Drosophila melanogaster: one gene and its partners. The protein of the gene in region 1 purifies or fractionates together with the protein of each later gene. This does not show direct contact. Each region holds a gene or a part of one and is shown in the gene's direction. Other genes may lie near its edges. The genes, in order: WASp, Cyfip, Vrp1 and Whamy.

The links.
Region 2: the proteins of WASp (region 1) and Cyfip purify together in Drosophila melanogaster (affinity purification with western blotting, with the first as the bait; one study listed by BioGRID). This does not show direct contact.
Region 3: the proteins of WASp (region 1) and Vrp1 purify together in Drosophila melanogaster (affinity purification with western blotting; 4 studies listed by BioGRID, with this or other methods). This does not show direct contact.
Region 4: the proteins of WASp (region 1) and Whamy purify together in Drosophila melanogaster (affinity purification with western blotting; one study listed by BioGRID). This does not show direct contact.

What each region holds. Positions count from the first base shown.
Region 1 is NT_033777.3:28,827,440-28,834,726, reverse strand, and holds the start of WASp (WASp), read left to right. Parts: upstream 1-2,702; 5' UTR 2,703-2,909; intron 2,910-3,413; exon of another isoform or gene 3,414-3,508; intron 3,509-3,586; exon of another isoform or gene 3,587-3,733; intron 3,734-4,049; 5' UTR 4,050-4,108; coding exon 4,109-4,225; intron 4,226-7,287. Other genes in the region: Apc (APC-like), read left to right, coding at 1-1,492.
Region 2 is NT_033777.3:15,329,331-15,338,865, forward strand, and holds Cyfip (cytoplasmic FMR1 interacting protein), read left to right. Parts: upstream 1-3,935; 5' UTR 3,936-4,058; coding exon 4,059-4,265; intron 4,266-4,335; coding exon 4,336-6,167; intron 6,168-6,222; coding exon 6,223-6,515; intron 6,516-6,575; coding exon 6,576-6,688; intron 6,689-6,742; coding exon 6,743-6,942; intron 6,943-7,003; coding exon 7,004-7,539; intron 7,540-7,600; coding exon 7,601-7,695; intron 7,696-7,748; coding exon 7,749-8,135; intron 8,136-8,193; coding exon 8,194-8,406; 3' UTR 8,407-9,035; downstream 9,036-9,535. Other genes in the region: ea (easter), read left to right, coding at 1-236, 301-1,031; mRpL9 (mitochondrial ribosomal protein L9), read left to right, coding at 1,424-1,495, 1,553-2,227; Fkbp39 (FK506-binding protein 39kD), read right to left, coding at 2,374-3,218, 3,286-3,498, 3,683-3,698; Nagk (N-acetylglucosamine kinase), read right to left, coding at 9,254-9,535. UniProt on the Drosophila melanogaster protein: Plays a role in guidance and morphology of central and peripheral axons and in synaptic morphology. Also required for formation of cell membrane protrusions and for bristle development.
Region 3 is NT_033778.4:22,118,180-22,125,447, reverse strand, and holds the start of Vrp1 (verprolin 1), read left to right. Parts: upstream 1-2,885; 5' UTR 2,886-3,555; intron 3,556-7,268. Other genes in the region: GM130 (golgi matrix protein 130 kD), read left to right, coding at 1-688; mei-S332 (meiotic from via salaria 332), read right to left, coding at 1,184-1,912, 1,974-2,450.
Region 4 is NT_033777.3:9,770,307-9,777,409, reverse strand, and holds Whamy (WHAMM and JMY related), read left to right. Parts: upstream 1-2,990; 5' UTR 2,991-3,090; exon of another isoform or gene 3,091-3,099; intron 3,100-3,431; 5' UTR 3,432-3,435; coding exon 3,436-4,209; intron 4,210-4,260; coding exon 4,261-5,214; intron 5,215-5,272; coding exon 5,273-5,437; 3' UTR 5,438-5,615; downstream 5,616-7,103. Other genes in the region: topi (matotopetli), read right to left, coding at 1-352, 405-664, 725-1,697, 1,757-2,126; CG9471 (uncharacterized protein), read left to right, coding at 6,042-6,114, 6,170-6,711.

The sequences.
Region 1 (7,287 bases):
GGTGGCCGATGGCGAGCAGGACTGCAGCATGGCCACCACCATTTCCGTGTCCAACTATGAGACGGCTGCTTGCGATGATCAGACGATGACCGTGCTCCAAAGTTGTTTCGACGAGGATGAGGATGCCACAATGAATGACTACAGCTCGGCCGAGTCCACACCCAAGCACGGATCTACTCCATCACCCAATCGTCGTTCCCTCACACCGAAAGACAAGCGACGTCTCACAAAGGATCGCTTCAAGACCTACACCATAGCCACCAGCTGCGAGATGGAAGCACCAGAGGCCAATGAAACTTTGCAGATAGAAATTGTGGAAGCTGCCGTTCCTGTGGCCACGCCATCGCCACGCGCCAATGGAAGGAGAAGGGGCAGTGCGGAGCGGTACAAGACCCAACTGATTGAATGTCCCCTGGCTTTGATACAACCCCAACCCGATGATTGCCCAAGCGAACAGCTCTCCTCAATTCGAGCAATGATGCAACAGTTCACTTTCATCACGGACATTAACATTGGACACAGTCAGGAGACTTGCGAGAGTACTGATCATCCAGAAGACGCAGGGGAATCCCCGGAGTGCGATCAGAACTCTGAGACGGAGTCGTGCGATGGTCAGGAACCGGATCAGCTGCCTCCTCCTCCGTCAATTGTGGACCTTAGAACATCAGTCGTTAAGCCCACAACCTTGGAGCCCGCCACGGCCGTAAAACTGGTGCGAGGTCGCAAGAAACCAGCCTATGTCTCACCCTACAGCATGCAAAGTCAACGGAATAGCAACAATGCCGCCCCGTCCAAGAAGAAAACCCTATCTCCAACAATTGCCAAACGAAGTCTGGTGCCCGGCGGTTCAGGAGTTAGGTTACCAGCGAAAAAGAAGCCGACGCCGCCGCCTGAGCCGGCACCCGCACGCTTGGAACGCCAGGGAACCTTTGTCAAGGACGAGCCCACTAACTCCAATGTTCAAGTGCCCGTGGTGGAGACAAAACCGGCTCAAACCAGTCCCACTCACCGCGCCTCGAAGTTACCCACAAAGAAAGGCACGGCCAGCGGTGGGTCACCATCGAAAGCGGGCTCTCCCAAGAGGATTCCCTTGGCGCCGGCCCGCCGAATGACGCCTCAAAGGGCAAACACCAGTCTGCGACTAGCTGCGGGCAAATCTCACGCTGCCTCACGTGTGGTCTCCGGCCGCGTGTCGTCCACTACTCCACCATCCCGCAGCAACTCCAACCTAAATGGAAGCAGTGCAGCCGCAGCAGCTGCGGCCAAGATCAACCATGCGCAAAGTCGTATCGCCAACATCTGGAAGAGAGTGGACGAGGCCAAAACCAAGCAATCGTCATCCAACCTGAGGACGCAGAAAACCAAATCTTCCAACATGCTCAACGCAAATGGAACCAAGCCGACGCTCCTGCGCAGCTCCACGTTTGACAATACCCCCAGCACCGCTGGAGGAGTCAAGTCCAAGCTGCCAGTGGTGGGCGCGCGGAAATAGAGGGTTAATTTGTTCAGGATAGTATGGATCACAAATTAGCCAAGTTAAAGCGAAAACGGAAGTGGAGATTGTAAGAGGAACAGGACTGTATTTGTCAAGCATTTTTTAGGAACCGAACACGCACAGGTCCACATCCACAAGCCGAGCTAGAGTCAGAGTCAAAATCAAAGAGTTTTTAGGATAGGAGTTAATATACATACGCTATGTAATCCATATTTTACTCTCCTTTTACTTTATACATTATACGTAGACCCTAAAACTTTGTAAGCAACCAGTTTAGCATAGAGTTAGCGCAAACTCCTAGTAACTTCAACTTATCCAAATCACAGTCAGAGAAGGAAGCTCCCGATGCTCCCGATCGTGTGTAGCCAAATGTATTGCATATATATACACAAAATCAGGCCTTTCAACATGTGTACAACTACCCAATATATACAAAATGTATACTGGCATATATATAAATGCTATATATTCGATTGTCGCATTAACTAGGAAAGGTTTACCAAGTCGAATGTCTGTTCTGATTTAACTTTTTTAACACTTAGTTAGATGAGCTGTCCTCCAACTGGTGAGCTACTGAAATCAATTACAATCATATAGTTGCACATCTTTATTGAGAATATACTCTAAGTTTAAAATATGCCCCTGGCTTCCTTATGCAAACACCAAATATCTGAAGAGAGAAGAAATTCACATTTTTTAGTCACTGCTTTTTAAGTATTCTTTTATATAATTTAGCAAGTTAAGGGTAACTGTTTTAGGAAACAGCTTATGCATTAAGCTCATCATTTGCGACTTAGTTTTTACCGATTCAATGCGATTAACCATTTTCAATATGAATAAATCGAAATATGCTTTTTGTCAGCAAAAAATTAAACCAATGTGAATTTACTCGATTATAATTTATATCAAAATAAAACATATTTTGAAAGCCAGATGAACAAATATTTATTCGAATTTACGGGCGTGGTAAACAAAATCAAATTTAACGGAAAAGATAACATAAATGAAAAAATATACTATTCCCACAGCTCTCCACTCGCGATTTCTTAACGGAATTGCCTGAAACTTTTTGATAAACTTTTAAGCGGAACTAGTGATGGGCAAAATTGAAAAGTCTCGAGCATGGTCTGCACAGGGCCTTGGCAGAGCTTGATGCATATTTTAGGAAATTATCGAAAGGATAGTATTTTTAGCCTATCGCCTTTTTCGGTCGGTCACACTGGCAGCAATTGAATTGGAGTGAAAAAAAATAAATGAATAAACAAACTAGCATTGCGTCCGGGAACAGACGAATAATCAACCGAGGAACACTCGTTTTCAACGCCATGCACTCGATGACGCGGACGCGCGCACAGTAGAGCCTCCCGATAAGAGTCCCGGAATCCGCAAGGCCAGAGACTACACAGATTTTGTGGTGTGTTGTGTTGTGTGTGGGAAAAAAACGAAAGAGTGAAGAGCAGTGCACGAAAATAAACGCAAAAAATCAATGGGCGACCCCCCCAGCAGAGCAGCTCACAAGGGAAATTCGAGACCTTGAGTAGGGCAGCACATCATCCCATCCCATCCAAGCCGAACCAACCCAACCCATGAACTTACTCCCAATCCGCAGCAGCGTCTGTCTATTTACATTTGCATTTTCACCCCACCTGGCGCGACGACGGACAGGTGTTGTCACAAATCTTGGAGCTACGGAGTGGCGCACAGTGGGGTGGATTGGCTGGTGGCTTGTGGCGAGTGCCGAATGTTGAGTAACCCAGACCACTGTGCATGTATCACACATAGATACATGCGCACACCTAATCAGTGCTTTTCGCCAAAGATAAGGGCTCTTTTCGAAGAGTTTGCCACTGGCCTGGCTTTTGCCCACATTCAAACGCAGCTGGCTGGCTTGCTGGCTGACTGTTTCTGTTTCTGCTTCTGATTTCCGACTCTCGGGCACCGTGACTCAGACCAGGCGATCCGCTCGCAGCCCCGCCGACACCATAACCAGCTACATCGTCATAGCCAGCGCAGGTCTCGGTCTCTCTCGCTCGCGCTCTTGGCCGTAATTCGGGCTGAAAACCATTCAAAACCGTAAAGACAATACTGTCAATCGATTCAGCAGTCCCAAAACCATAATTCTTCGATCCCAAATCGGGTTATTCGCAACACACTTCGGACTCCGTTGCTCAAACTCTCTGTAGATCGGAGTTTTTACAAGCTGTACACTGTACAAAAAAATAGGCAGCCTATCCAAGTGTAGTTATCTTTTTATATTCGAAGGCGTTGACTGCAATAATTCATTTAAACGTTAAATATTATACAGTTTCTGAACTCTTTAGTATATTTATGGGAGCTCAAACTTTTCATATTGTATCGTCAACCCTACGATCCCAAACTTTTGTTCACTCTATCGAAGTTCAACTGTTACTCCGTGTGCCTTTATTGTTATGAACTTTTTACTTTTTCGGGGTCCCCAGCGTTTTGTGATATTAAATTAATACATTTAGCTTTTGTTCATTTGCGTATTGTTTTCGCCACACAATAAAATGCGTATTGTGTCCGTATTGTGCAGGGAAACCAGCCCAGATCCCCATATCCAGCACCAGACCCAGATCCAACGAAACCGGCCAGATGAGCAGCGGAATGAGGTCGCAGGACGGTCCACGGGCGAAGGTCAATGCCGCCAGTACGCTGCTCACCCAGGAGGAGAATGAGGCCGTCTTCAAGCTGCTGGGCAAGAAGTGCCAGGTGAGTCGAGTACTGATGATGCATAATGCCCCCAATCGGGTGATTAATAATTAAGCAATGACATGGTTTGTGTTCCTCCGCCTTCGCCGAGCAAATCCCACGGCTTGATGAAGCACTTCCTGCGGCTCAAGTGTCGCCCATCGTGTGCGAATTTCACTCGAAGCACAGTAACCCTATATCATAATATCATTCTACGGTCTACGGGCAGCTGCCTGTCATATTTACCAAATTTCACTTGCACACTGCCCAACATAGTTGAATGGTTTCTTTGCCCATTTAAAGATGGCACCGGAAGCTAAACTGTGAACAAAATTAGAGTTCTATGCACTATAGTTAGTTGGTCAGCTATAAAACTTGCATGGGAGTATCGTACACATTATTAGCTTTGGTTTTGATTGAAAGACATACTCTTTTGCTGGAAAGTCTACTTGAGTCAGTGCAGATAACCATTTAGATTAATGTTCTCTGTACTATACAAAAAAAAAACAAGATGAATCATTGTTACACAGATGTTTTATGGTGCCCATACATACATATGTAGGTTACAACTTATTGGGCACTATTCTCGTATTAAATGCTCATTAAGAAATTAGGAGTATATAAGGAATAAATAATATTCATTCAGATCAGAGTCCGAATGTGCTGGCCAGTGTTACTAGAGCAATTTGTTAGACTTTGTTAACATTACTAATATTTACCTAGCATTTCTTAGAGCCTCTATCAGCAAACGGCTTGAGCCGGCATTGATAGGCCACAAGCGCAGTTGTTTGCACTTCTTGATTAGTTTTTTATTTCCAACTCTATTCCTTCGTAGTATTGGGGTGCCAAAGCCGATTGTGGTGCGAAACGAAAGAGAAACCATTAGTTTGGCCCATTGGGTCGTGATAAGAGTGGGGGTACATATAGTATTTGAGGCGAAATACAGACGAACCTTATCTTATCAATCCGCCCGCCCAATGCGAATCACCGGCCAATGCCAAGTGCGATAAGAATGCCCTGAAATTGGAGTGGAAACTTGGAATGTGGTCATTTAACGGCGGCCGTTGTGCGGATAATTATGGTGTGCACAACATGGGAAAATCGCTAATTTCGATTCGCAATTCACGCTTTGCTAATTCGCAACTTTCCATTGACAAAACATTTCCAAATGCATTTGAACTCTGCCAAAGTAATGCAACCAGTGGGCTGGTTAAGGCAGTTGGCCCCTTTTGAAGACACTCAGAAAGGCACTACCAATCCATTTCTCATATTTTTAGTCTCTGCTTTTGATTCACTGAAGCTACGGGTATTGGGCAAGTCAATGAAAACGTTCGGGGATTTGTAAATTATGTCATTAATCCCACATCTTTCGTTTGCCCTGCTCTGCTCTCTGAGATAAAGAAAGAGATTACCTGGTGGAAAATATTCAATCAATCACCAAACCATATCTTGTTTTCACCGTATCGAATGCTGCCCGTCTTTGTGCGATATCGTGTGATAACACACAAAGCTGCAGCTTAGCAAACCCGATGTTGTTATTGTGGTTTGGCAGTCGCTTGTCGCTTGTCGCAACTCTTGCTCGCATTTATTTGTATACACTTATTTAACGCATTTTTCTGCACAGGCCAAACTTTCTAATTGATGTTTATGTTTGGATAGTGTACACTTTGAGCCCCAGATTTTGCTCTCTGAATAATTAGCTAGCTTTGATTACTTTCGAAAGAATTTTAATAAACAAAGGAAGTAGCTGACTCATTTCTAGTATTTTTACGCATCTTTAAATAGCAATGACATTCTCTAAATACATTGCGATTAAAGTGGTATCTATAGATATCCGTATAAATGTTTATTTATAATCTGACATAATATGTTGGCCACAGGGCGTATGAGCATTTTACCGCTTGGCCCATTTGGGTTGACTTGTACCGCTAGGACCGCACCCATTCCCCGCTCCATCGAGCCACACGCTCGGTGGCAATGACCACTTTTTGCTGTCGCTTGTTTTCCATCGATTTTAATGCTTTTCAAAAGAAACACCAGCTTGTACGTAGAAGGCAAGACATCATTTTTACAATGCTACTTATGTCCGCTCACAGTTGGCGCGAGTAAAAAAAGCCAGAGCTAAGCATCAATAAAAATTCAAATGTGTTCACAATTTCGCACTTTGCCAGAGATACAAGCTGTGTGCTGTGCTGTGTTGCGCTGTGTTGTGTGGGCTGGAAAGCATCTTCCACATCCGAAGCTACATAAAATCCAGTGGCTCGTCAATGCCTCTTTCTCTTTTATTTGAGCCAAAGGTCAGCTGCAAATGCTTCTGCATGGCCATTGCCCATATCCACTAACCAACCATCCATCCACATCCATCCATCTCTAATGTGTCCATTAATTGATAATGCTGGATTGCTGTTCGGCTGCAGTGTTTCAATTGCCAGCACGTAACATTTTGGATCATCGCCCAGGGGCGGCAAGTTGAATCAATTAGCAACGATTCGGGTTGAGGGTCATTCTGTGGCCTCAGGCGAAAGCCAAATGTTAGGGCCACCAACTCACACACTCACTTTTGTCGAGCCTAAAAGAGGCTGGTGTGTCCTTGCACAAAGTTTCCGATAAATAAATAAGCGCTTGCCTTGACTTTTCTGGCGGCAGAGCTTCTTGCACATAATGGTTTTGGCAACTATTCTGCTGCGGCAATTTAGTGGTAGTGCAGGATGCACTTCTTGGAGTGTCGCCACCATTTCCTGTCTGGGTCATAAACAAAGTCCTCCGTCACACAAAAGACACAGAGAACAATTTGAATTTATACGTAGGTACTATCTATACATCTATCTTAGGGGAAACACAATTTCATTTTAAATCAATGGATGATACTTAATTTTTGCCTGTGCACATTATGGGTCTCCGTTGCACTGTTGCAGCAATATGCACTGATCCACGGAAAGTTCTCCACTAGACTAATGTCCACGGACTAGACTTAGGCCCTCCATCAACCGGGGATACGTGCTCCTCATGCCAAACGGCTGGATTGCCCATTCAACTACCAGTTGCAGTTGCTGCAAGAGCTGGCCAGGCTAATCGGTATTCAA
Region 2 (9,535 bases), about 13 Mb from region 1:
TTACCTGAGTCGCAGCCAGTGCGGCTATACGAACGGCAAGGTGCTCATCTGCTGTCCGGACCGCTACAGGGAGAGCTCATCGGAGACGACGCCACCGCCCAAGCCCAATGTAACCAGCAACAGCCTTCTGCCGCTGCCAGGACAATGCGGCAACATCCTGTCCAATCGCATCTATGGCGGAATGAAGACCAAGATCGACGAGTTCCCCTGGATGGCTCTAATTGAATACACCAAAAGTAAGTAGAGGGGCATCGTCTTAAGTCTGAACGCACTTATCCACTGGTTAATTCCTACATGCAGGCCAGGGCAAAAAGGGTCACCATTGCGGCGGATCCTTGATCAGCACAAGATATGTGATCACAGCCTCGCATTGTGTCAACGGAAAGGCACTGCCCACCGACTGGCGGTTGTCCGGTGTTCGTTTGGGCGAATGGGACACCAACACTAATCCCGATTGCGAAGTAGATGTGCGCGGCATGAAGGACTGCGCGCCACCGCATCTGGACGTGCCCGTGGAGCGTACTATACCCCATCCCGACTATATACCGGCCTCCAAGAACCAGGTCAACGACATAGCCCTGCTGCGTCTGGCCCAGCAGGTGGAGTACACCGACTTTGTGCGACCCATTTGCCTGCCTCTGGACGTCAATCTGCGGTCGGCCACCTTCGACGGCATCACCATGGACGTGGCCGGCTGGGGCAAAACGGAGCAGCTGTCGGCCAGCAACCTCAAGCTGAAGGCAGCCGTGGAGGGATTCCGGATGGATGAGTGCCAGAACGTCTACAGCAGCCAGGACATTCTCCTCGAGGACACACAGATGTGTGCCGGCGGCAAGGAAGGCGTCGACTCCTGTCGCGGTGACTCCGGGGGACCGCTCATCGGCTTGGACACCAACAAGGTGAACACCTACTACTTCCTGGCCGGCGTCGTGTCATTTGGACCGACTCCGTGCGGTCTGGCCGGATGGCCAGGAGTTTACACGCTGGTGGGCAAGTACGTTGATTGGATACAAAACACTATTGAGTCCTGATTGTAAAATGTCATATTGTAAATAAATTCGACTAACGGTTTCCGTTTAAAAACTGCTTCACAGCGTGTACGCATACTGCATGTCGATGGGCGCGTTCGCCGAAATATTGGCATAGTCAATCTTTTATTTTGTAATGAAACTATTAAATTAAAATTGACAGTCATAATACTTTCAAAGGTACATTTTTTTTAATCAATTAAAAGGTAAATTGGGCAAATTATTTTGCTTTATTAAAATGTAAAGAAATAGTTGCAATAAAAAAACTAAATTCATAATCGTTTTCAAAGTCACTGAAAATTTTACTGCTGAACTCACGCAGATTAAATAATCATATCTGGCAACACTGCAAACTGGCTGAGTAGTCTGGCAACGCAGACATATTGGTGGTAAAAATGTTGAAGAACATCTACGTAACGCCGTTAAATTTGCTTAAATCGGCCACCAGCCTGCAGCAGCAAGTGCGGGTAAGTGCTCTCCTGGATTAGGGAAGCGATCCCCATTCACCACCAATTTGCTTCCAGACCACGTTCGTCCTGAAGCGCAAATATGACCCGCCGCTGCACAAAACCAACGAGAAACCCCGCCGGATGAGGGCCAAGAACTTCATCTACGAGCTCGTGGACGACACGCTGGTCAAAAAGCGGCCCAACATCGAGGTGGTGCTAAAGACCTTCGTCGAGGGCGTTGGCGACAAGGGCGACGTGGTGTCAATGAAGCCGCACTTTGTCTACAATAAGCTCCTGCTGCCGGGTTTGGCCGCGTACAATACGCCGGAGAATGTGGCCAAGTACGCCAAGACAGAGGCTGAAAAATCGACTGTTAAACACAGCTCCCCCTACGCCCAGCGCACGGTCAACATGCTGGAGACCATTGTGCTGGCGGTGGTCATGAACAAGGATGAGCCATGGGTGCTCGAGCCCTGGCACATCAAGGCCTCGCTGCGCAAGACTGGGTTCTATTGTCGCGAGGAGTGCATTACCCTGCCCAAGGAGCGCATCGAGGGACCCGACCTGAAGAAGGAGAACAAGGACTTCTACTGCACTGTGACCATAAACAAGCTGGAACAGGCGCGACTCAAGTGTCGTCTGCACCACTGGAGCACAGATCCCAGCGAACGGCTGCCTTACGTACTCGAGCACTGGAAACTCCAGTCTGAGCCCCTGCTGGATGTATGTTCACCCGAAAAAACCCCTTAGAGACCCCATACCAAATACATGCGATTGTTACAAAACTGTTGATTTATGAACAGCCGGAAAACAGAGTTTATTTAACATTTTTATCAAGTTGTACGACGTGGATACTTACTTAGGATTACAAGTCTATATGATGTTAATATAGTGCACTAATGCACAGCTTTCAGTTCCACTTCGAAGACGAGAGTGGAGTTCGGTCCGATCTTCGGTGGAGCTCCCCGTGCGCCGTACGCCATGTGCGGGGGGCAGGTAATGACTCGCTTGCCGCCCACCTTCATGCCGGCGACTCCCACGTCCCAGCCCTTGATGACCTCTCCGCCGCCCAGGGCGAACTTAAATGGTTTTCCCTTCAGGAGGCTGTCGAAGGTCTTGTTGTTCGACTGCAGGCGGCCGATGTAGTAAACAGATACGCGTTTGCCCTGCTTGGCTTCTTCGCCTTTGCCGACGACCTGATCCACAATCTTCACGCCTCCGGTGATAGTACGTGGATCCTTAGAAGCTGGTTGCTGCTTGGCTGGCTCCTTGGCCTTGGGTTGTTCCTTCTTGGCCTCTGGCTTCTCCTTCTTCTTTTGCTGCTGCTTGGCCTCCTCCTTCTTGGCCACACCGTTCTGCTCCTTGCCAGATTTCTTGGCGCTAGCGCCAGGAGAGAGCTTGGCAACCTTGGCCTTTGGCTGTTCCTCTTCAGCTTCGGAGTCGTCGCTGTCCTGTTCATCCTCCTCGCCACTCTCCTCGTTATCCTCATCAACATCGTCGTCATCTTCCTCCTCACCATTTTCGAGGAAGGACTCGTATTCCTCGATTATCTGGCTATCGTCATCAGTATCCTCCTCGTCCTCCTCGCCGCTCTCATTCTCATCCTCATCATCTTCAGACTTTTTGCTATTCTTGATCGCCTTGGAGTTCAGCAAATTCTCGATCGTCATTTGATCGTCATCCTCATCATCTTCGGAATCAATGTCGTGCAAGTAGCCCAACAGAGAAACGCTGGCGTCGCCTGTGAAACGAACGAAAGCGTCAGAAACGGATAAACATGCGAACATAGTGGACATAAAAGGTCTTACCGGCGGTGTAGAACATGATGCGATCGCCCTTGCTGAAGTTCAGGTCGAGCGCAACCTGTGGAATGGCCTTGGTCACGGTGGCCACGATGTACTCCTGCTTCTCGGCAGCGAGGTACAACTTGGCCTCCTGGCCCTTGTCGAGTGCCACGCCCGAGATGTGGAACGACTTGATGATCGTCTGCGAGTACTTGCGCTCAGGCTTCATGTTCAAACCTGGAAGAGGACACAGTTGGTCAAAAACATGGTTTACTTTACATCGGCGTGCAAATGGCGCCGCTCCACGCTGCCGGTAAATCGAGCGGCAAGCACGTGGTGGCAATAAAAGCGCGGTCGGAGCACCCAAGAGCTCGTTGGCACAACCAGCCCGGAGGGGGCAAGTGAGATCAGTTCGACTTACCCCAAAACATCGACATCTTGCAGAATTGTAGGCTACTCTTAACGGAAAATGCAATATAAAATAGGAGAAATTGAGTTCGCTAAAACGAAACGGAACCACAGACGCTAGTGATGTGATGTGCCGCCAATGCGCCGTATTTATCGATTATCTTTCTCTTATCGAAATTAGCGGTGCGCAGCCATATAAGCATAAGCACATCGTAGACGCCAACCGCCAGCAAAAATGTGCTAATTATGGCCACGTGTCCACGCACCCAGGCGAATGGTAAAAGTCGTGTTGTATTTGTGGCGAAAAAAATTTGTGTCGATTGGATTGGGGCCCCGCCTTGTTAGAATTTAACCATTTCGCGCTGCTGGAGCATGATAAGCAGCCCAGCATGACGGAGAAGATTACGCTAGCCGACGCGCTGTCCAACGTGGAGGTGTTGGACGAGCTATCCCTGCCGGACGAGCAGCCCTGCATCGAGGCGCAGCCCTGCTCGATTATCTACAAGGCAAACTTCGATACGAATTTCGAGGATCGCAATGGATTTGTCACGGGTATCGCCAAGTACATCGAGGAGGCCACCACCCATGCCAACTTGGTGAGTTAGCGTATCCGGCTTATCGCATTAGCATTACTCACAGCTCTGAACCCCTTCTCTCCGCCCGCAGAATGTGCTCCTGGACGAGGGGCAGAAACACGCAGTAATGCTCTACACCTGGCGCTGCTGCTCGCGCGCCATTCCGCAGCCCAAGTCCAATGAGCAGCCGAATCGCGTGGAGATCTACGAGAAGACGGTCGAGGTGCTAGCCCCGGAGGTGAACAAGCTGCTCAACTTCATGTACTTCCAACGCAAGGCCATCGAGGCCTTCTCCGGCGAGGTGAAGCGCTTGTGCCACGCCGAGAAGCGCAAGGACTTCGTGTCCGAGGCGTACCTATTGACGCTAGGCAAGTTTATCAACATGTTTGCCGTGCTGGACGAGCTGAAGAACATGAAGTCCAGCGTGAAGAACGATTACTCCACCTACAGGCGAGCTGCGCAGTTCCTCAAAGTGATGTCGGACTCGCACACCTTGCAGGAGTCGCAGAATCTGTCCATGTTCCTGGCCACGCAGAACAAGATTCGCGACACGGTCAAGGACACGCTGGAGAAGATCGTGGGCTACGAGGATCTGCTCTCAGATGTGGTCAACATTTGCGTGCATATGTTCGAGACAAAGATGTACTTGACCCCTGAGGAGAAGCACATGCTGGTAAAAGTTATGGGCTTTGGCCTGTTCCTTATGGACAGCGATGCGTGCAATATCAACAAACTTGATCAAAAGAAGAAGATACGGCTGGATCGCATCGATCGCATCTTTAAGAACCTGGAAGTGGTGCCCCTCTTCGGCGACATGCAGATTGCTCCCTTCAACTACATAAAGCGCAGCAAGCACTTCGATTCCAGCAAGTGGCCGCTGTCCAGCTCAAACGCCATCAGCCCACAGGCGGATCTAATGGTGCATTTGCCGCAGATACGCGAGGATCACGTCAAGTACATTTCGGAGCTGGCGCGATACACAAACGAGGTGACCACCACCGTCAAGGAGAATCCCTCTGATGCCGAGAACCGGATTACGGCCGACCTGGCTCTGCGCGGCCTTCAATTGCTGTCCGAGTGGACCAGTGTGGTCACCGAGTTGTACTCCTGGAAGCTCCTGCATCCGACTGATCATCACCAGAACAAGGAGTGCCCCGTGGAGGCTGAGGAGTACGAGCGGGCCACCCGCTACAATTACACCTCGGAAGAGAAGTTCGCGCTGATCGAGGTCATCGCCATGATAAAGGGACTGCAGGTGCTAATGGCGCGCATTGAAACCGTATTGTGCGAGGCTATCCGGCGTAACATCTATTCCGAGCTGCAGGACTTCGTGCAGCTTTCGCTTCGTGAACCGCTGCGAAAGGCCGTAAAAAATAAGAAGGATCTTATCCGGAGCATCATCATGTCGGTGCGAGAGACATCGGCGGACTGGCAAAAGGGCTATGAGCCCACCGACGATCCAGTGGCCAAGGGCAAGAAGGATCCCGACGGCGGCTTCCGCATCCAGGTGCCTCGCCTCAATGTGGGACCTTCCTCCACTCAGCTATACATGGTGCGCACCATGCTGGAGTCTCTGATTGCCGACAAAAGCGGCGGCAAGCGCACTTTGCGCAAGGACATCGACGGAAACTGTTTGCTGCAGATCGACACGTTCCACAAGACATCGTTCTACTGGAGCTACTTGCTCAACTTCAGCGACACGCTTCAGAAGTGCTGCGATCTCTCGCAGCTGTGGTATCGCGAGTTCTACTTGGAGATGACCATGGGTCGTAAGGTTAACAAGTGCTTGGTGCGGCATCAGCACAACGAGGAGTGCAAGGATCTGATCACCATGGAGAAGCGCATTCAGTTTCCGATTGAAATGTCCATGCCCTGGATCCTAACCGATCACATTCTGCAAACGAAGGAGCCCTCAATGATGGAGTAAGTAAATGGCGAATAGGTGAAATGATCTGAACTAACTAAGTGCCTCACACAGATTTGTCTTGTATCCCCTGGACTTGTACAACGACTCGGCGTACTACGCACTCACTGTCTTCCGAAAGCAGTTCCTGTACGACGAAGTGGAGGCCGAAGTCAATCTGTGCTTCGATCAGTTTGTCTACAAGCTGAGCGAGCAGATCTTTGCCCATTACAAGCAATTGGCGGGCAGCATCTTCTTGGACAAGCGATTCCGTTTGGAGTGCGAGGTACTCGGTTTCAACTTCCAGTCGTATCCCCGCAATAATCGTTATGAGACCTTGTTAAAACAACGACATGTCCAACTTTTGGGTAAGCAAAACACCCATTGCATCATGATCTTTTGGTTAATGGTTTCTCCATTCGTTTAAGGCCGTTCTATTGACTTGAACAAACTGATCACACAACGCATAAACGCCAACATGCACAAGAGCATTGAGTTGGCCATCAGTCGTTTCGAGGGCAACGATATAACCGGCATTGTGGTAAGTGGAATCCTACAGATGTCTAGAATCGGTCTCTAATTCGCTTAATTTCAGGAACTCGAAGGCCTGCTAGAGGCGAATCGAATTTGCCACAAGTTGCTAAGCAAGTACTTGGCCCTGGATAACTTTGACGGCATGGTAAAGGAGGCTAACCACAATGTACTGGCGCCTTACGGCAGAATAACACTGCACGTCTTTGTGGAATTGAACTACGACTTTCTGGTCAATTACTGCTATAATGCAGCCACGAATCGGTGGGTGTGCCGCCAATTTTCTATTGTTTAAAATACTTATTATTACTATTATCTCTTGCAGTTTCATTCGAACCAAAGTGAATCTTTCGTCGTCACAGGCTATTCAGCGTGAGAAGCCGCCACAAATGTCCCATTACTATCTGTGGGGTTCCAAGCAGCTGAATGCTGCCTATTCCACACAGTATGGCCAGTACACTGGCTTTGTAGGTTCACCGCATTTCCATGCCATGTGCCGCCTGCTGGGCTATCAGGGCATAGCAGTCGTCATGGACATTATACTGAAGGACATTGTTAAGCCACTGATCCAGGGCTCGCTGCTGCAGTTCACCAAGACGCTGATGATTGCCATGCCCAAGTCATGCAAACTACCCCGTTGCGAATATGGTTCGCCTGGAGTGCTCAGCTACTATCAGGCTCATCTTACAGACATCGTGCAATATCCGGACGCGAAGACAGAGCTATTTCAGTCTTTCCGGGAGTTTGGCAACAGCATTATCTTTTGCCTGCTGATCGAACAGGCGCTCTCGCAGGAGGAGGTGTGCGATCTACTGCACGCCGCCCTCTTCCAGAACATCTTTCCCAGACCTTTTTGCAAAGGTATGTACAAGTGGATGCTTTCATGGGTAGTTTTTCTTACTTACATCTCTACCCATTTCAGAGAATGAAAAACCGGAGGCTAAGCAAAAGCGTCTTGAAGCACAGTTTGCCAATCTGCAGATAGTTTCAAACGTGGAAAAGATTGGCACTGCAAAGGTGAGCCCCCAAACTTAATTGATTAACTTTATAATAATAATCTTTACCAACAGCAAGCAATGATAGCACGAGAGGGAGATTTGCTGACTCGTGAGCGTCTTTGCTGTGGCCTCAGCATTTTTGAAGTTATTCTCAACCGCGTGAAGAGCTATTTGGACGACCCTGTGTGGTGTGGTCCTCCACCGGCCAACGGGATTATCCACGTGGATGAGTGCTCGGAGTTCCATCGCCTTTGGTCGGCTCTGCAGTTCGTTTATTGCATTCCAGTCAGGGGAACGGAGTACACCATCGAGGAGCTCTTCGGCGAAGGTCTGAACTGGGCTGGCTGCGTCATGATCGTACTGCTGGGACAGCAGCGTCGCTTCGAGGCTCTGGACTTTTGCTACCACATTCTGCGGGTACAGCGCGTCGATGGCAAGGATGAGGACGTAAAGGGCATTGTAAGTTCTAACATAACTACCAAAGTGCCCAAAGTACAATTTGAATATTCCTTAACAGCAATTGAAGCGAATGGTGGATCGGATTCGTCGGTTCCAAGTATTAAACTCACAAATCTTCTCCATTCTCAACAAGTATCTAAAGGGCGGCGATGGCGAGGGCTCAAATGTGGAGCACGTGCGGTGTTTTCCACCGCCTCAGCATCCCTCGGTCATATCGTCCTCGTCGCACTACCAGGATCCCCAGAAGCTGCGGCAGAGCATAAACAATTGAAGTCGCCCGGAAAGGGATGCATTTAAGCTAATCGCATACAAATAGGTTACACTTAATCGCAGATGAATTAGTCCCCAGGAAAACAGCGACGTAGAAGCCGAAAAGCCAAGTTTTCTTGGCTATGCTGCCGAAACTTTGACAGTTTTTTTAGTCAAAGTGGCGGTCTTGGTTCTATTTGAATTCGATTTTATTGAAAATCTCTTTTGGTATGTCGCATTCAATCTTACAGTACGTTAAATGTTTTATCCAAGCAATTATATATATATACATGTAGATGTAATTTTGATTCACTTGCTACGGCATTCGATTCAGCTACTCGTACATTATCCCAAATACTCTATTCTAAGCTCCCTAAGATATTATGTTTTTGGCCTATGTATTCCTTCGCTACAAACAGATACATTTATGTTCTGCTTCCCGATTCGAGAATCAAATTAGCCAAAGAATTGAATTGACAGCACTGCGAAAATAAAAACAAATTGGCTTTAAACACAATCAAAGTATTACAAAGAAGATGCCGCACATGTATGCCCACATACATGAAAAGAAGCCACGACAGCCAACAATTGAGACACATACAATTAATACAATGAACATTATCGAATAAAATTTTCATACGTATTTCTAACAAACCCAACAAAAAAAGTTTAGAAAGTATATGTAGGTGAGTTTGATGCAAGATTGAAAGGGAAACTTCTTTACTTTCCAGCGGATTTCGTCAAAGGATAAAATTATTTATTTTTTGATAAGCTATAATACTACCTATCCGTACCACTAACTGGAATATTGATTGCGAATTTGGCAATTGGGAAGTGTATTGCGGAATGGGTTGTCAAACACAATTTATCTAACAGTTACAGCCGTTGGTGGCTTTGGCTTTCTTTCGAGGATCGGTGTACGTGTACAGTACTGTGACGTTGTCGGCATAGTTTCTCGGAAGATCGAAGTCCGCACTATCCGCACCCAGGTAGCAGGCTCCGTAGGCACTGCTCTTGGTGATGCGCACCAGCTTGAGGTCGAAGTCGATGGTTGTCTTAGCGAGTTCACTGATGAAGGCCTCCTGCAGCAGATCCCAGCTGGACCACACGGATCCTACGCACACTACGCTTAGGTCCCCGGACTTGACCAG
Region 3 (7,268 bases), on another chromosome or scaffold:
CGGTCATTGTCATGATAATGACCACGATCATTCCCATGAACATAACCATCATAATGCTGGTGATCATGGTCATCCACATGATCATCCGCACGATCACACACATGATCATTCACATAGCCATCCACACGATCATCAGCATGATCATCCACATGATCACGGCCAGAACCACGCCCACAGACAAGCAGCTGAAACGCTGCCCACCGCCGAGGCCGTGGAACGCTTGCAATCGCGTTTCACCACACTGATCAGCCAGGTCGCCGACTTGACGGAGGAGAAGCACAGCCTGGAGCATCTGGTGCTCCAGCTGCAGAGCGAAACCGAAACGATTGGCGAGTACATTGCCCTCTATCAAACGCAGAGGCGCATGCTAAAGCAGCGTGAGTACGAGAAGGCCGCCCAAATGCGTCTCTTGCAAGCGGAGCGAGAGCAGCTGCGCGAGAAGATTGAGGCACTAAACAAGCTGGTGGTCAGTTTGGGCGTGGAGCTACCCGCAGATGCCGCCCAGGCAAAGCAACCAGAAGCGGCCGCAGGTAGCGAACACACTCCTGGCGAAGGTGAAAACTCGCAACAGATCATCAACAAGATACAGGACATTATCAGCGAGATCAAGGAGAACACGGAGCAGCCAAGCCACAACCATGCAGGAGACCATCTCAACTGTTGTATGGGCAAGTTCGAGGTAGTCTAAAAGAAGTGCAATTATCGCCTACCTACGTATAATCATTACCCTTTTGCTACTGTATTTAATTGTAATTGTAATTGTACTTTGTTCTTCAGAGTCTTTTGTAAATGTTTCCAACAACTTTGTGCGAATAAACGTAGTTTGCATCTAAGAGGAATCTATAAAATGAGTTCCCCTAAAAGCGTATTAACAAATAATTAATTGAAACGTTGTTTTATTCACAAATGAACATGTAAAAATTAGACGTACTTTTAAATTCCTATTGGCATCTTTGGGTGATGATGATGATGGAGTGTCTTCCTTCCGATAGCGCTGGATGAACTGAATATGCCCTCTATTGCAGGCAAAAAGTAATCCGATGTCAGCTTTTAGTCTATAAATTAAACTTATCAGGGCCTGACGATTTAAAAATATTATTCATATTAAAAATGGTAAAAAGTGGTATTGAAAACCAATGAAATTACAGAAACAACATTAAAGCCTATTAAAAAATTCGTCTATCTACTTTTTGGCCTTGGCCTTGCCTTTCGAGCCATTGCGCAACTTGTTCTTCAGACTTGGCTCCACCAAACTGGTGGGCCTGCAGCTTCTACTCGGCCTTGCGCTGTTGTTGCAGAAAGAACTAGACATATCCGTATTTTCTGATTTCTTATTAGCCGCAGTTCGGCTTCTAGTTCTTATAGATGGCATTTCCTCGACGAGAAAGGATTTCGGAGTGCTGGTGCTTCCGGCCATTTTGCCTATCCCATTGAACAGGCTTCTTCGCGGCGTTAATCCGTTGACATCAGGAAATATTCCAGACGATTGACTAGGCCTGGTGACTGCCAGTCGTGGGCACTGTATGCTTGGCTCCTGTGGAGAATCTTCCACAGCTACGGAAATAGCCAACCATGATCCCTTCCCAGTCTCTTTTCCCCGACTGAGGGACACTGCTACAGGGATATTGGTGTCCACTTCCCGCAGAGCCCGTCCACTGGGCGTGACGGTGACTTGGGCGTTTGGCGGACTACTTTCAAACGTTGTGTCGCAATAGATGGCCTCGCATGATGATGACGAGTCTGTGGACTCCCCTTCACTGCCATTTTCCTCTATAATGCTAAACAGACGATTGTTCTCTTCATTTTGCTCAGTCTGTGTCTCCTCCACGGGGCTTACTGCTTCGTCGAAATCATCGTCCGAGTCGTCCTCATCAAACACTAATTCCGCTGGTCTTCGTGGCGGTGGTGTAGGCTGTACTCAAGCCGATAATGAATCGTTAAGAAAAGCATAATCAAATTTAAGTATAAGTTACCTTGTTGGCTCTTCTATCCTCTGGTATCCTAGTGGTCACCACCTCGGACTGCACTTCTGCGCTGGAGCGGCGACTAGTGGACGATACAGTACTGGTCACTGAGGAAGATCTTCTTGGCGAGATTGGTCTGGTGGTGCGGGCCAACGCACACGTCCGTCGCATGTCCTTGCAGATTTCCCTGGAGCTGCGACGCGGGCCGCTTGGTCTGTTTATCTGAGCTGCGGGAGCGGGCTCCTGACGCACTGCCAGGGAATCGGAGTCCACGTTCAGGCTCAGCATCAGGCTGCGTACGATACTGATGTTCTCCATGCGCTGGCGATGGTTTTGCAGGACGTGCTCCTCCCGAATGTCCATGATCTCTCGCTCCAAAGATATCACCCGCTTCCTGTACTCGCCGATCTCCAAGCGCTGCTTCTGCACTTGGTCCATTAGCTCCGCATTCAGCAGCTTGTACTGCTGCTCCACTTTGGATCCCATTTGCTTCTTCTGATCTACTTATTCCATACACAAAATCCAGACAGACGACGCCAATAGCTTGTTTTGAATTTTGAAATAGAGTGACCGTTGTTGTGCTATTGGAATATACCCCAGCTTAAGGAAAACTTTTTGAAAGTATGGCAACGCCGACCATGCTCTTAATTAAAATGAAATTCTTTAATTTTGGGCCATATATATAAGAAACAATACAATCCGATGTGAATATATTTTATTTTAATAATTATAAATTTGTTTGTCTCATTTGCACGACAAGAATTAGGAACCGTTGAGTTGGTGCGAATTTGATCGTACATGCGTTACCAAGGGTAATTTTCCATTTAAATTCTACACGTATGCCAAAATGCTAAAATTTCGCTTAGTGGAAGCTGTGTATATTGCGGGACACCGATTTCGATAGGCACAAACCATCGAGAGACATCGATACGTCTATGTTTCTCTTACACCTCTAAGCTGCACAATAAATTTATTGTTTTCTCGACCGATTGCGAAGAAAATCTGGATATCCGTGGTAGATAAACAATGCTGCAGCGCTAGAACCCGGAAATCGAAGTGAATACGCGTTTCGGGAGGTTGTAGATACACCTTGCAGAACGCGAAAATCGCACTGAATCAGAAGTCAGCCCACCTGGCAGTGTGTGCGTGCGTGTACGTGAGTGAGAGTGTGCTGTCGCAGTGTGCGTGTGTTTGTGTAAAAATGAAAATCAGTCGGATTTGTATCGTCGTTGTACGTCTTTTAGGCATTTAGCCAGGCTTTTACACATTTCTACAATTCTTACCAACAGTGGGAGGGACTTTCCCCCCGCACTCACAGGACACGATACACATCACATGCAACACCTGTGCACTCGAAAAACGATAGACGGATCTAGCGCGCGGATTAACTTAACTTAGGAACACGGATACGGATTATACACCATAGTTTCGGAAAAATACATTAGGGAACCGCTTGCTATGCTGTTTCATCTCCGCCAGAGAATCACGACAATCACCTGCTGAAACACCGAAGACAGCCAGCAGCCCAGAGAACCGAGAATTTCATTCACAGAAGCTACGACCGCAGTCGAAAACCGAAACCCGCTTCAAGGTGAGTCTGTTTGTAAATCCAACTCGTTTGGCTTTGTACCCATTTAGTCGATTGAGTGCATCACTCAGCACTCAGAATCCGAAGTGGTACGGACTTATCGAGCGACCTTATCAATTCTATTTCGCACGGTGCCCAGAAATTTGGTAATTTATGGCAAGTTCAGGAACCTCTTCGGTACCAGTTCCATGTAGGCAATTATCTTATCGCGCCCTCCGACAATTTCGCCACGATATTTGCGACTAATGGTTGTGTGTATGTAAAATTGCATTTTCCAAGATATGGGGCTATATCTTATAGCCTCGAGGTACACAATAAACAAACACATACCAGCGTTAGTAGGCAGCTGTATTTAGACTTTTTATAATATTTATTCATATGTCCATATTCCAGATTAATCACCATTATTTGCATATATTCTAAGTATAGCCGACAGTCCATGTCTTGCCCGATTTGATTTAATATTTGAGCTTGCATGAAATTTATTTTTTCCTGTGTCGGAGAACACGAAAAGCCTTTTCCACCGTCTAACCGGCTAAAAGGGGTGCAATAAACTCGGGTCGCTTTGATTTTCTCCTGTTCCGTCAGCGAATGCACTTTGTTTTGGTTTGTTGTCGCTTTGTCTTAATCACATTAAGCAAAACGCCCGGGCACGCGACGCATGACGACACCAAGTGTTGCAACACCAGCGAAGACCCATGGAGCATGTGGCCACCCATGCCACCCCATAACTGACCTACAAAGAGTGCATTGCTCGACGGCCGACGAAAACTAAATTCGCTGACTAGGGGTTGATTCATTCGCTTGGCTCCCTTCAGCGATGTGAGTGCGAATTGTGGCGGTTGAACTTCGATGGTATGACATAATCTGGGCTCTTACTATAGCCATTTGAAGAGGCATACAATCGCAATCTTTACATTAGATTTATTACTTGTAGAGTTAGTCACAAGTTTTAGCTTAAGCGTGCAACTTCTGGTGTCGTGGTACCGGTGTCCGGGTTCCAGTTGTCCAGCACTCCCATTAGCTGAGCAACGAATATCTGATAGTCGAGGAACGTCTTGTTTATATTCTCATTTCTAAAATGCTTTACTACTCTGCGATGGTGGAAAACAGATATCAAAACATTGAAATACAAGACTATAGAAGTTGTTATAAGTAATTTCTTTTCTCTGTACCGAAAATAACCCTCGTGGCCAATTTAGTGCGCTCTTTAAACCATCCACAAGTGTGAATGGGCTTCGAGCTCCTTTCCGTAATGCTATGCATGGCACAAAGGGTCGTCCCAGTCGCCGGGTTCAATGTCATTGGCGTGGCGTAGGCCATGGCAGCGGTGGGCACATGGCACCGACCCATCCCAACGTCCCATTCCATGGCATCCCGTCCAGGAGTCTGCCTGCTGCCGGTCTATTGTCGAGGCTGTTGTGCATGCCCCACTGCAAGTACACACAGAAATATCGAGTGCTGCTGCAGTGACACACGCAAAGACTGGTGATTGAAGGGAGGGTGGAGGTGAAGGTGTGTGGGGCACGGGGTGTGGATATGGGGTTTTATGGCCACGGGGAGTGGGCACTTGTCGGCCTTGTGTGCGGCCATTTGTCAGTCGAATTGGCTGTCGTGCATTTTTCGAGCACTGCATCACACGAGGTCTGATTGGCACGTAGTAGAGAGAGAGAGTCGGTCGTTTCTGTCAGCCTTTATGACGCTGAATTATGCTGCACTTCCTTGTGCAACCTGGAACTGAATCATAAAACTACAGTGAGCTCTCCAGCACACCGATTTCTGACTACAGTTTCGAGCCCCATGCCGAGGGCTTTCGCTTCCTCGGTGCCCCGGTGACTCATAGTTTGTGTTTGACTTGTGTTCACATCACATTTGCAGTTGCACTGCGAACACTCCTCTCTCTCAATGTGCTTTAAGCATGAAAGTAATTTTTTTGAAAGTGATTCAATGTTCAAAGAGGAAGACCAACTTCCCATTTCGAATCTTATCCGACTAAAAAATGAATTGGCACATGAGGATGTTTAGCTGAGTATTTATTTCTTAGGCACTTAGAATGACCGGGTTGTTGTTTCTAAGAGCTGTTAGTGGCTCTTTTTTTCCATGTGTAGTGTATGCAAACTAGCGAACCCAACACCGTTGTTGTCATTGAGTTCATCGTTGTCTCGTCTCGACTCTCATGATGTGTTTACATTAGTTATTTAAGCATTGTGCGACGGTGCTGAAAACCGCATTTTAATAGACCCGCCGGCAACAACGGGCTTAGCAACTGAAACAGCCACATCAAGTGCAACAATGCAATATTTATCTGTAAGCAAATATGGGCCTTACATCACACACGCGCAGCAAGCGCTGATGAGGTAGCCGATGTGGCAAAGGCAGAAGCTTCAATTACAAAATGCAAAATGCAAATGCAAAATGATGCATGGTGAAACGCTTAGATCAGAAGTAACACGAAACGCAGTGTTTAGGCTCATAAAAGGCCATTCAATGCGGTGTATTCACTCATATGTGGGATATATACTCGCAAATGAATCAATACAAGGTTTTTAAGGAAGGTTGGGAGTAACCTTTGGGAATAACAATAAAGATGTCAAGCTATTATAGTTTTTGAAAATCATCTTATTTTGTATCTAGCGTTTAATATGACTAATATTACAATAAACCAGTTCTGGCGCTATTGCTGATCAGAGAGGTTGAGGCTCAACGGCTTATGAGTCATTTGAGCGATCTGAGATCTGTCAAGAATAAATTGGAAATGTGTTTTTGATAGAGAAATTCGGAATTTGCATACTAAATTGTATTTATTAGATATCTGACCTTTTCCGCAGTAATGTTTTCGGCATAACAAACTCTGCCACTGGAGCGAAGGCACTTTGTGTATCTCTGAATTATCTGAATTTGATTCACCTCAAAACATTCGCCACAAAACGTTTTTACGTCAGCGGGCCTCTAGTATAAACGGTCATTCACAAAAAAAAAAAAACTTATAAACAAAATCGAGTTGGATGAGCTATAAAAACATTGGCATAAGAAATGCTTTCGGAGCGTGTTGTCTTTTGCATTTGTTGCTCCGACTAATTTGCACTGCGGTCACATATTATTATCGTACCGCGTGGCTTTTGGAATTTCAATGATTTGATGAGCAGCTTCCCCTGCCTCGAAAATCATGAAAAGGCACAGCTGGCACGACTTGCAATTGAAATGTAAATGTTAATTGTTAGTCCAACGGTTTTGGTTTTGTGTAATTGGAACTTGGCCACAGCTAAACGACAAAAATGAATTAAAGAAATTGAAAGCGAAAGTCTGGGCACTTGTGAGGCAAATTAAATTGCAAGACTGAGTGCATCATGTAAACCGGTTTGTGCTTAAGAATCAAATACAGAACTGAAATGAGTCACAGTCACTATACAATTTGCAATTAGACAAACTAATTAACTGGCACACTAGAAGTCATTTGAAGTTAGAAACCACCATTCAAAATCTCTTTTTAGAACAGCCTTTGCCAAAACCAGTCTCAAAACCTGAAACGCAATGAAACACTTGTGCAAATTGCCAAGTAAACAAAGCGATGAGCCAAACGAAAGGAAAGCGAGACAAAGAAAACCTACGTTAAATGAAGAAAAACCTCAGCAAAATTACCATCATTAGGAGAACTGGGCGCTTACTAAACCAAACTGTCCCGCCAGAAATCCAAACTGGGGGACACTTTGCGGCCT
Region 4 (7,103 bases), about 19 Mb from region 1:
AGGTGAGAGTGTCGAGCTCGGATGTGCTTGTCACGGTCGCCGCGCTGGCGAAAAGTCTTCGTGCAGAAGAGGCAGCTGTACGGCTTCTCTCCGGTGTGGATGCGTTGGTGATTCTTGAGCGCGTCCGCGCGATAGAAACGTTTACCACACTCCTCGCACTCATAGCGCCGCTCGCCGCGATGGATCAGACGGTGCTGATAGAAGACGGATCCGGTGAGAAAGCGCTTTCCACACACCAGACAAAGATATGGACGCTCGCCCGTGTGGCACTTGCGAATGTGGTCGTTCAGATCTGGGCGAATGGTGAACTTCCGATCACAGTTTTCCTCCTGGCAAACGAAGGGCTTCACACCTAAAAAGGAACTATCATCATCTTATCCTCATATAGACACTGTATCACTTACCCTGGTGAAAGCGTAGATGCTGCCACAGATGGCTTGACTGGGTGTACGATTTGCCGCAGATATCGCAGAGATATTGACGTATTCGGCCGGCGCCCGTGTTGCGCGTTTCCTTTTCGCGCTTCTTTTTGTTGAGATGCTTCTCCTCGCTGTGCGCCAGAAAATCGTGGGCGAACTCAAAGTTGACGTCGCAAAAGTCACAGGGCAGCAGGAGCTTCTTGCCATTCTCGTTGAGGCGAGGAAAGTAGTGAAAGGAGGTACACCTAGTACAGAGAATAGAGAATCGAAGTAATCATACTTTCAATGGCTAACCAATAGCTTACCGATGCTCCTGGAGCAGGTCCGTGTTGGCAAACTTCAGCTCGCACACATTACACACAAAGTAGCGACTAAGCGTGACATTTAGGGACCTGATTGCTTCGCGCATGAAAATGCAGTCCGTCTGGAAGTGGATGCTGGCTTCCTTGGCCGTGTTCATCTGAATGTCGCAGGCGGTGCACTCAAAGCGCCGCTCCGCCACATGGGAAGCGGAATGGACAAGCAGCTCGGCTATGTCAGCGAAAATGTACTCGCAAAACTCGCACTGCAAAACACTTCCCAAGATCAGGCTGCTAAACATTTCCTTCTTCGGTGGGTTTGTGTTTTGATTGCTCGTTGCAAATGCGGGATCGTTGTCTATCAGCATCTCGCCATCCAGCAGCAGCTCATTGAAATCTGCTCTATTGGAGGGTACTTGGGTCATTGGACTTTGACGCATCGTTGAATGCTCCGAATCGTGAATAAGGCCGTGTCTAAAAGCCACCTGCGGATCATAGAAGATGCGGCCACACGAGTTGCACTTAACCACCACATGCAGTCCGGCAGCCGGAATCGTATGTGGTTGCTCGCTGGTTTGCGAAGGGATCAAGTCCAGGGCATGCTTCTCCATGTGGCGCACCAGCCCAGAGGCGTGGACAAATTTGCGGTCGCACATGGTGCACTCGTTGGGACCCTTGGCCGCGTTTTTGCGCGAGCTTTCGATGCCTGTGGCCAGATCGTACTTCATCTCATCTTTGATGTAACGGCGCAGACGCACTTGGTTCTCCCGAATTACCCGCTCGCTAGCCGGTTTGCTTAGCGGAGCCGGAGGAGCAGATACAGTAGGCACAAGATGTGGCTTCTCCTGCTGAGGCACCGCCACCTCGATCGGCTTCGCTTCACAGGAATGATTTTGAAAGGCCACGGCATCGAACTGGACCAAACATGTTGGACACTTTATACGGTTGACAGTGGACGCAGAGGAATTGGAACGAGATCCTAAATAATGTAGGCAATACTATAAAAACTTATCCATGCAAGTGAATCTATTCGTATACCATGAAAGACCGATTGCTCAGTGGTCATCTTGCTGCTGGTGACGCCGGCCAAAAAGTCGCGAATCTTCATTTGCTCCGCCTGGGGATCGAAGCCTTTCTTTCCGTCGGCCTCCTGCAGGATTTGCTTGAAAGCCGGATCCGCCAATGTTCGCTCCACTACAACATCCGTGGGCATTGGTAAGGCGCCCGCTGGCCCCACGGCGAAGAATCTGGACAGCTCCTCATGGCTGACAATCCGCTCTAAGCCGCCAGTACTCTCGTTGGTGGCCAGCACTGTGGCTCCGGGTTGCAGGTCGTCTGGCGTCAACTGCTGGTCCAACTCGACTTCGATCTCGGCCAGCGTATATTCACCCGAAACTTTGACTTTCATGGCGCTAGTCCGATCGCGTATCTTTCGCAGAAAATTGCTCTCTCTCAAAAGCGATTCAAAGTTTTTAAAACTCAATGGCAGTTGGCCGAATTCGAAAAAAGTTCAAATTTGTACAGTTTCTATCGCAGGAATAATTTGTTCGGAAATTTTAACGAAACGTTTGTACTGCTGATAAGTAGGGATATGAGATTTGCTTTCTCCGTCGCTGGAAAATTGGCTCAACTGACAGTTGGCTCCAAGGCATTGGACAACTCTAAAGGGTTTCTAACAAAGACGGCAATACTAAAATGTTTGCTAAAGTAAAACATCTGACAACTTACCGATATGTTTATAACTTAAATGACCTGAGAATCAACTGAATATTATAAATACGTATATCGTAAAATATATATGTATAATATAAATGTAGTCTTTAAATTGCTTTGAATTTTAATTTCTAATATCACATAAGATTTAAAGTACATCTCAATAATGAGAAACTCAAACCAATGGGTTCGTAGTTATACATTTTGAAACTGTGTTTTTAAGTCCCTGCATATGCATTCATCTTTAAAAATAAAATGATTTATAAAGCCGTTTCCGCTTCTACAACACATTAGTCATTAGCTAATTTTTAAATTTTGGACTTACCCAACATTTTGCAGACTTCTGACAGCCAAGGCGCATATCGTAGACCGCAAAGTGTAGTTAACGCCATTTGTTTATGTTTTCCTTTGGCTCAGGCTGTCAGAGTCGGAGTCGTCGTAGTTGGCCCAGGTGATTACTGGCCGCCAGTTATCTGCATTCAGCACTTCGGTTACAGATAAGACGCCTCGCGAAATGAGTAAACGCAGTGCCTAACATGGCACACCGACGTTGTTAATCAGTCCCACAAGGTTCTCCGTGCCATTCAAACACACCAGCCGACCCGAGCCGAGCTGATCCGGTTCAGCATTTGCAGAATCCCTGCAAACAGCGTTTCCAGGTGCGCACGGTAATTGATCCTTGCTCATCGCCGCTGCCTACTGTCGTTCTAGACCACCATCTCGTTTCAATGGGCTTTCGTAATAATTATTAGCCTGTTTAACTGGTGACTGGGACCGTCGATGAGTCACGTCCGTGAAGGCCCACCGCGATCCGAATCCGAAATTGATAAAACGCCAAGTTGCGCCAGCAGTTCTTATCTGCAAATTGGCTACTAGATAATGCCGCTGGGCCCAGTGGACGCACGGCGGCAACGGGGAGAGATCCAAGACAATGCCAATGGGCGGCACCTCCTTTGCAGCCGTAATAACGCAGCTACCAACTACGTATCCGTTTTTCCAGTTCGATGGAGGATTACACATACGCCTACATCTCCGAGCCCGTGGAGTTCCGCCAGCTGGAGGGCAATGCGATTGACTTCCGCAAGACATTCGATCTGCGAGGCCAGGGCACCGACGAAATGCTTCAGTTGTACCTGCGCAAGGCAAATTTGTCCGATGATCTTGAACGTCTGCCGGCTATTGTGCGGCGCGCCTATGTCTATGACATAATTAGAAGCAATAAGGAACCCGGTTACTGGGTGGTAATATCCTGCAGCATCTCATCTTGCCAGCTTCATCAGCCGAAAGTGTCCTTGATGTTGTCCACAGTTGTCCTGAACGCAGCCGTTTTCTTCTCCTTTCAGCCACCGTCTATGCAAGTGAGCAGCGACGTCTTTGCACATCCACCGCCAGCAGTTCGTCCACCGCCTCACTACGCCGACAACGTGAGCATCAACGCCAGTCTAGACGGCATGAAGAGCTCCTCCTCCTCGAACAGCCTGGACAGGTATCTGGGCGCTCCGCCCTCTGTGGCCTTGGCGGGTCCCAGCTTCGCCACCAGCGTCTTGGTCAGCAGCAAGGGCTCCAAGTACGAGATTAGCGGACCAGTCAACTTCCAGCACGTTTCCGGCGATGTGACGCGGGATCGCACGCGAAACGCCTTCGACCTGAATGCCGATCCCAACGACAAGGTGCTGAGGAAGTACATGATGGAGCGTGGCATTACGGAGGCGGACATTAGTGACATGCGGCGCCAAGAAGTGATCAAGAAGATCATTCACTCCAATTTTACTTGGATGGTAGGTCTTGAAATTAACTGGAAGCTGTTAATATAACATTTGCCTTTTAAGCCACCAAAAAGTGATCTTCAGGCGCAGCCAAAAGTTCAAGATCATGCCAGGCCGCTGCTCTATGCCACCATTTCCACTAATAACCAGATTACTCCTCCGCCGTCTCCACCGCCGCCTCCAATAGCCACTATTTCGAGGCCAACGGAGGCACCAAACTTCTCCAACTACGCCTCGCTTACTTCACGGTTTGTGGATATCTCCGATATGGACTTACCTGCTCCTACGCCGGCTGCACCAACTCCTTTTCAACCGGCAGAGGTCGGAAGTGTGATACCCGTCCAAGTGCAGCCTCAGCAGAGTGTGAAACCTAAGGTTCCTCCACCTCCATCGGCGGTAATGGCGAAGAACACACATGGATATCCAGCGGCCATTGACATTCGTCAAGTGAGGCCATCTGTGGCGCCAAAGGTAGCGAATGAGACGTACGCCACCATATCACCGCAACGGAAAGTGGGCTCAATGCGCGTTCCACCGCCGGCGCCTCCAAAGCCAACAATAGTGCCTCATACGAACTCGACGATTTCCAACGGATCACTGTATGCTGTGTCCCCGGTGCAGTACGCGCCTGTTGCCAAGCCGGCGCCACCAGCTGCTCCTGCCAAGCCGACTTCTAGATCTTCGGCTGTCTATATGACACCACTGTCAGCGCAGAAAACCCAGATTAGTAGTACTCCGGTGCCAGTTTCACCACCGCCGCCTACAGCGGCATCCGTTGGTGTTCCACCGCCGCCTCCAGCGCCACCAGCAGGTGTTCCACCAGCACCGCCACCAATGCCAGTTTTTGGCGCGGGAGGCGCTCCTCCTCCACCACCGCCTCCATCAAGTGGCATGGCCGGCGTTCCACCACCGCCTCCGATGCAGAAATCACAGCCCAAGGCTGTTTCAGCTGCCTCCACCGGCGGAGACCCGAGGGATGCGTTCTTGGAGAGCATTCGACAAGGCGTAAAGCTGAAGGTATTAAAAGTAGACACCCATTTAAATTGGAAATCTAATCCTTCTTCGATTCTTGCAGAAAGTGGATCAGAAGGCAGCCACCATAAGTGGCATTAAGCCGCGTCCAGAACGTAAGCCGGTGACCACCGACTTTCTAAGTGAACTGAAGCTGGGAATAACACTGAGACGGGTCAAGAATCCGGCGGATAATCCGTATTCCGAGGAATCGGAGTCGCAGGCGTAACGATTTGGCGGTTAAACTTTCAACTGCGCCGCATTTTACCACACTGAACCAAGTGGCAGGGCTGCCAGACTGAGAACAACCGCCTTAATTTTAATTTTCGCAAATGTATTTATAATTTTAATATTAATCACCATGACAAATGACCATTAGCGTTTGTAAATAAAATTGTTATCGCCAGATATGATATACCTTATCATTATGCCTGACAGTAATCTATATAAAAATTCATATTGTTTTGCCAGTACAGTGCTAACTAGAAGCAATGAACCAATAAACAAAATAAGATTATTTGCATAGAGACAAAAATAACACGATATTTTTAAAGCAATAATTCGTAGCTTAATAAAAATACAAATGAATGTTAAATATCTTGTTACCTTCTACAGAAGCTTCAGATCAGTGAGCGTTCACTATTTAGAAAGAGCACTGTACATTCATTGCTACGGGTGAGGTGAGAATGCGAGGCAATCGCGCTGGATTCACTTGTGAATTGGAAATTTGATAGATAAGTTGCGCCTGGAGCACAGGTGAGACTGCACTTTTGCAAACCAACAACTGGACTAAACGCATTTCAATCGACGGGAATTAAAGAATCATCCGAATTATGCAACGCATTGCTATTATTGGAGGAACCGGCATGACCGGCGAGTGTGCCGTGGATCACGCCCTGCAGAAGGGTAGGTGACACCTTAAGACCCGGAAACGCCAGTTAAACCGTATTCTTCCTTTCAGGTCTGTCGGTGAAATTGCTATACCGCAGCGAAAAGACAGTTCCAGAACGCTTCAAGTCCAAGGTTGAATTGGTCAAGGGAGACGTGACCAACTACGAGGATGTCCAGCGCGTTATCGAGGGCGTGGATGCGGTAGCCGTCATCCTGGGCACCCGCAACAAGCTGGAGGCTACCACGGAGCTATCCCGCGGCACCGAGAACCTCATCAAGGCCATGAAAGAGGCCAAACTGACCAAATTCTCTATTGTCATGTCCTCGTTTCTCCTGCGCCCGCTCAACGAAGTGCCCACTGTGTTCCACCGCCTAAACGAGGAGCACCAGCGCATGCTGGACCTGACCAAGGCCTGCGATCTAGACTGGATCGCCATTCTGCCGCCGCACATAGCCGATGAGCCGGCCACCGCCTATACCGTCTTGCACGACGAGGCCCCCGGTCGTCTGGTATCCAAATACGACTTGGGAAAGTTCATTATCGACAGCCTGGAGCAACCGGAGCACTACCGCAAGGTTTGCGGCATTGGCAAAAGCCCCAAAAGTGCCTAGAACTATCTATCACCCAATGGGATTGTGACCAATTGCAGCTGATCATTGAAGACGTACAAATTTAATTTGATATTCCTATTGTAGTCCTCTATAGTTCGCCAAATGTTTGCACACCCGCATCCGTATCTACGTACTGTGAGCGCACAATAAACTTTCCATTTTAGAAGATCCGAATTTAATAGCCATTACGTGCGGAATCGCATTGGCGCGACCAATCGGAATGTCGCCACATTAGCACCTGTCGCACCAAACGCCGGGCAGGTATTTAAAAAATGTGTAACCATAAGAGATCACCGTGCCCCCGGGCAAACCAACAGCGATCAACAGCTTCCGCTGTCGGAGAGGCGATCGTCACACCCAAGTCATAGTCCCATTCCCATTGAGAGAGCGAT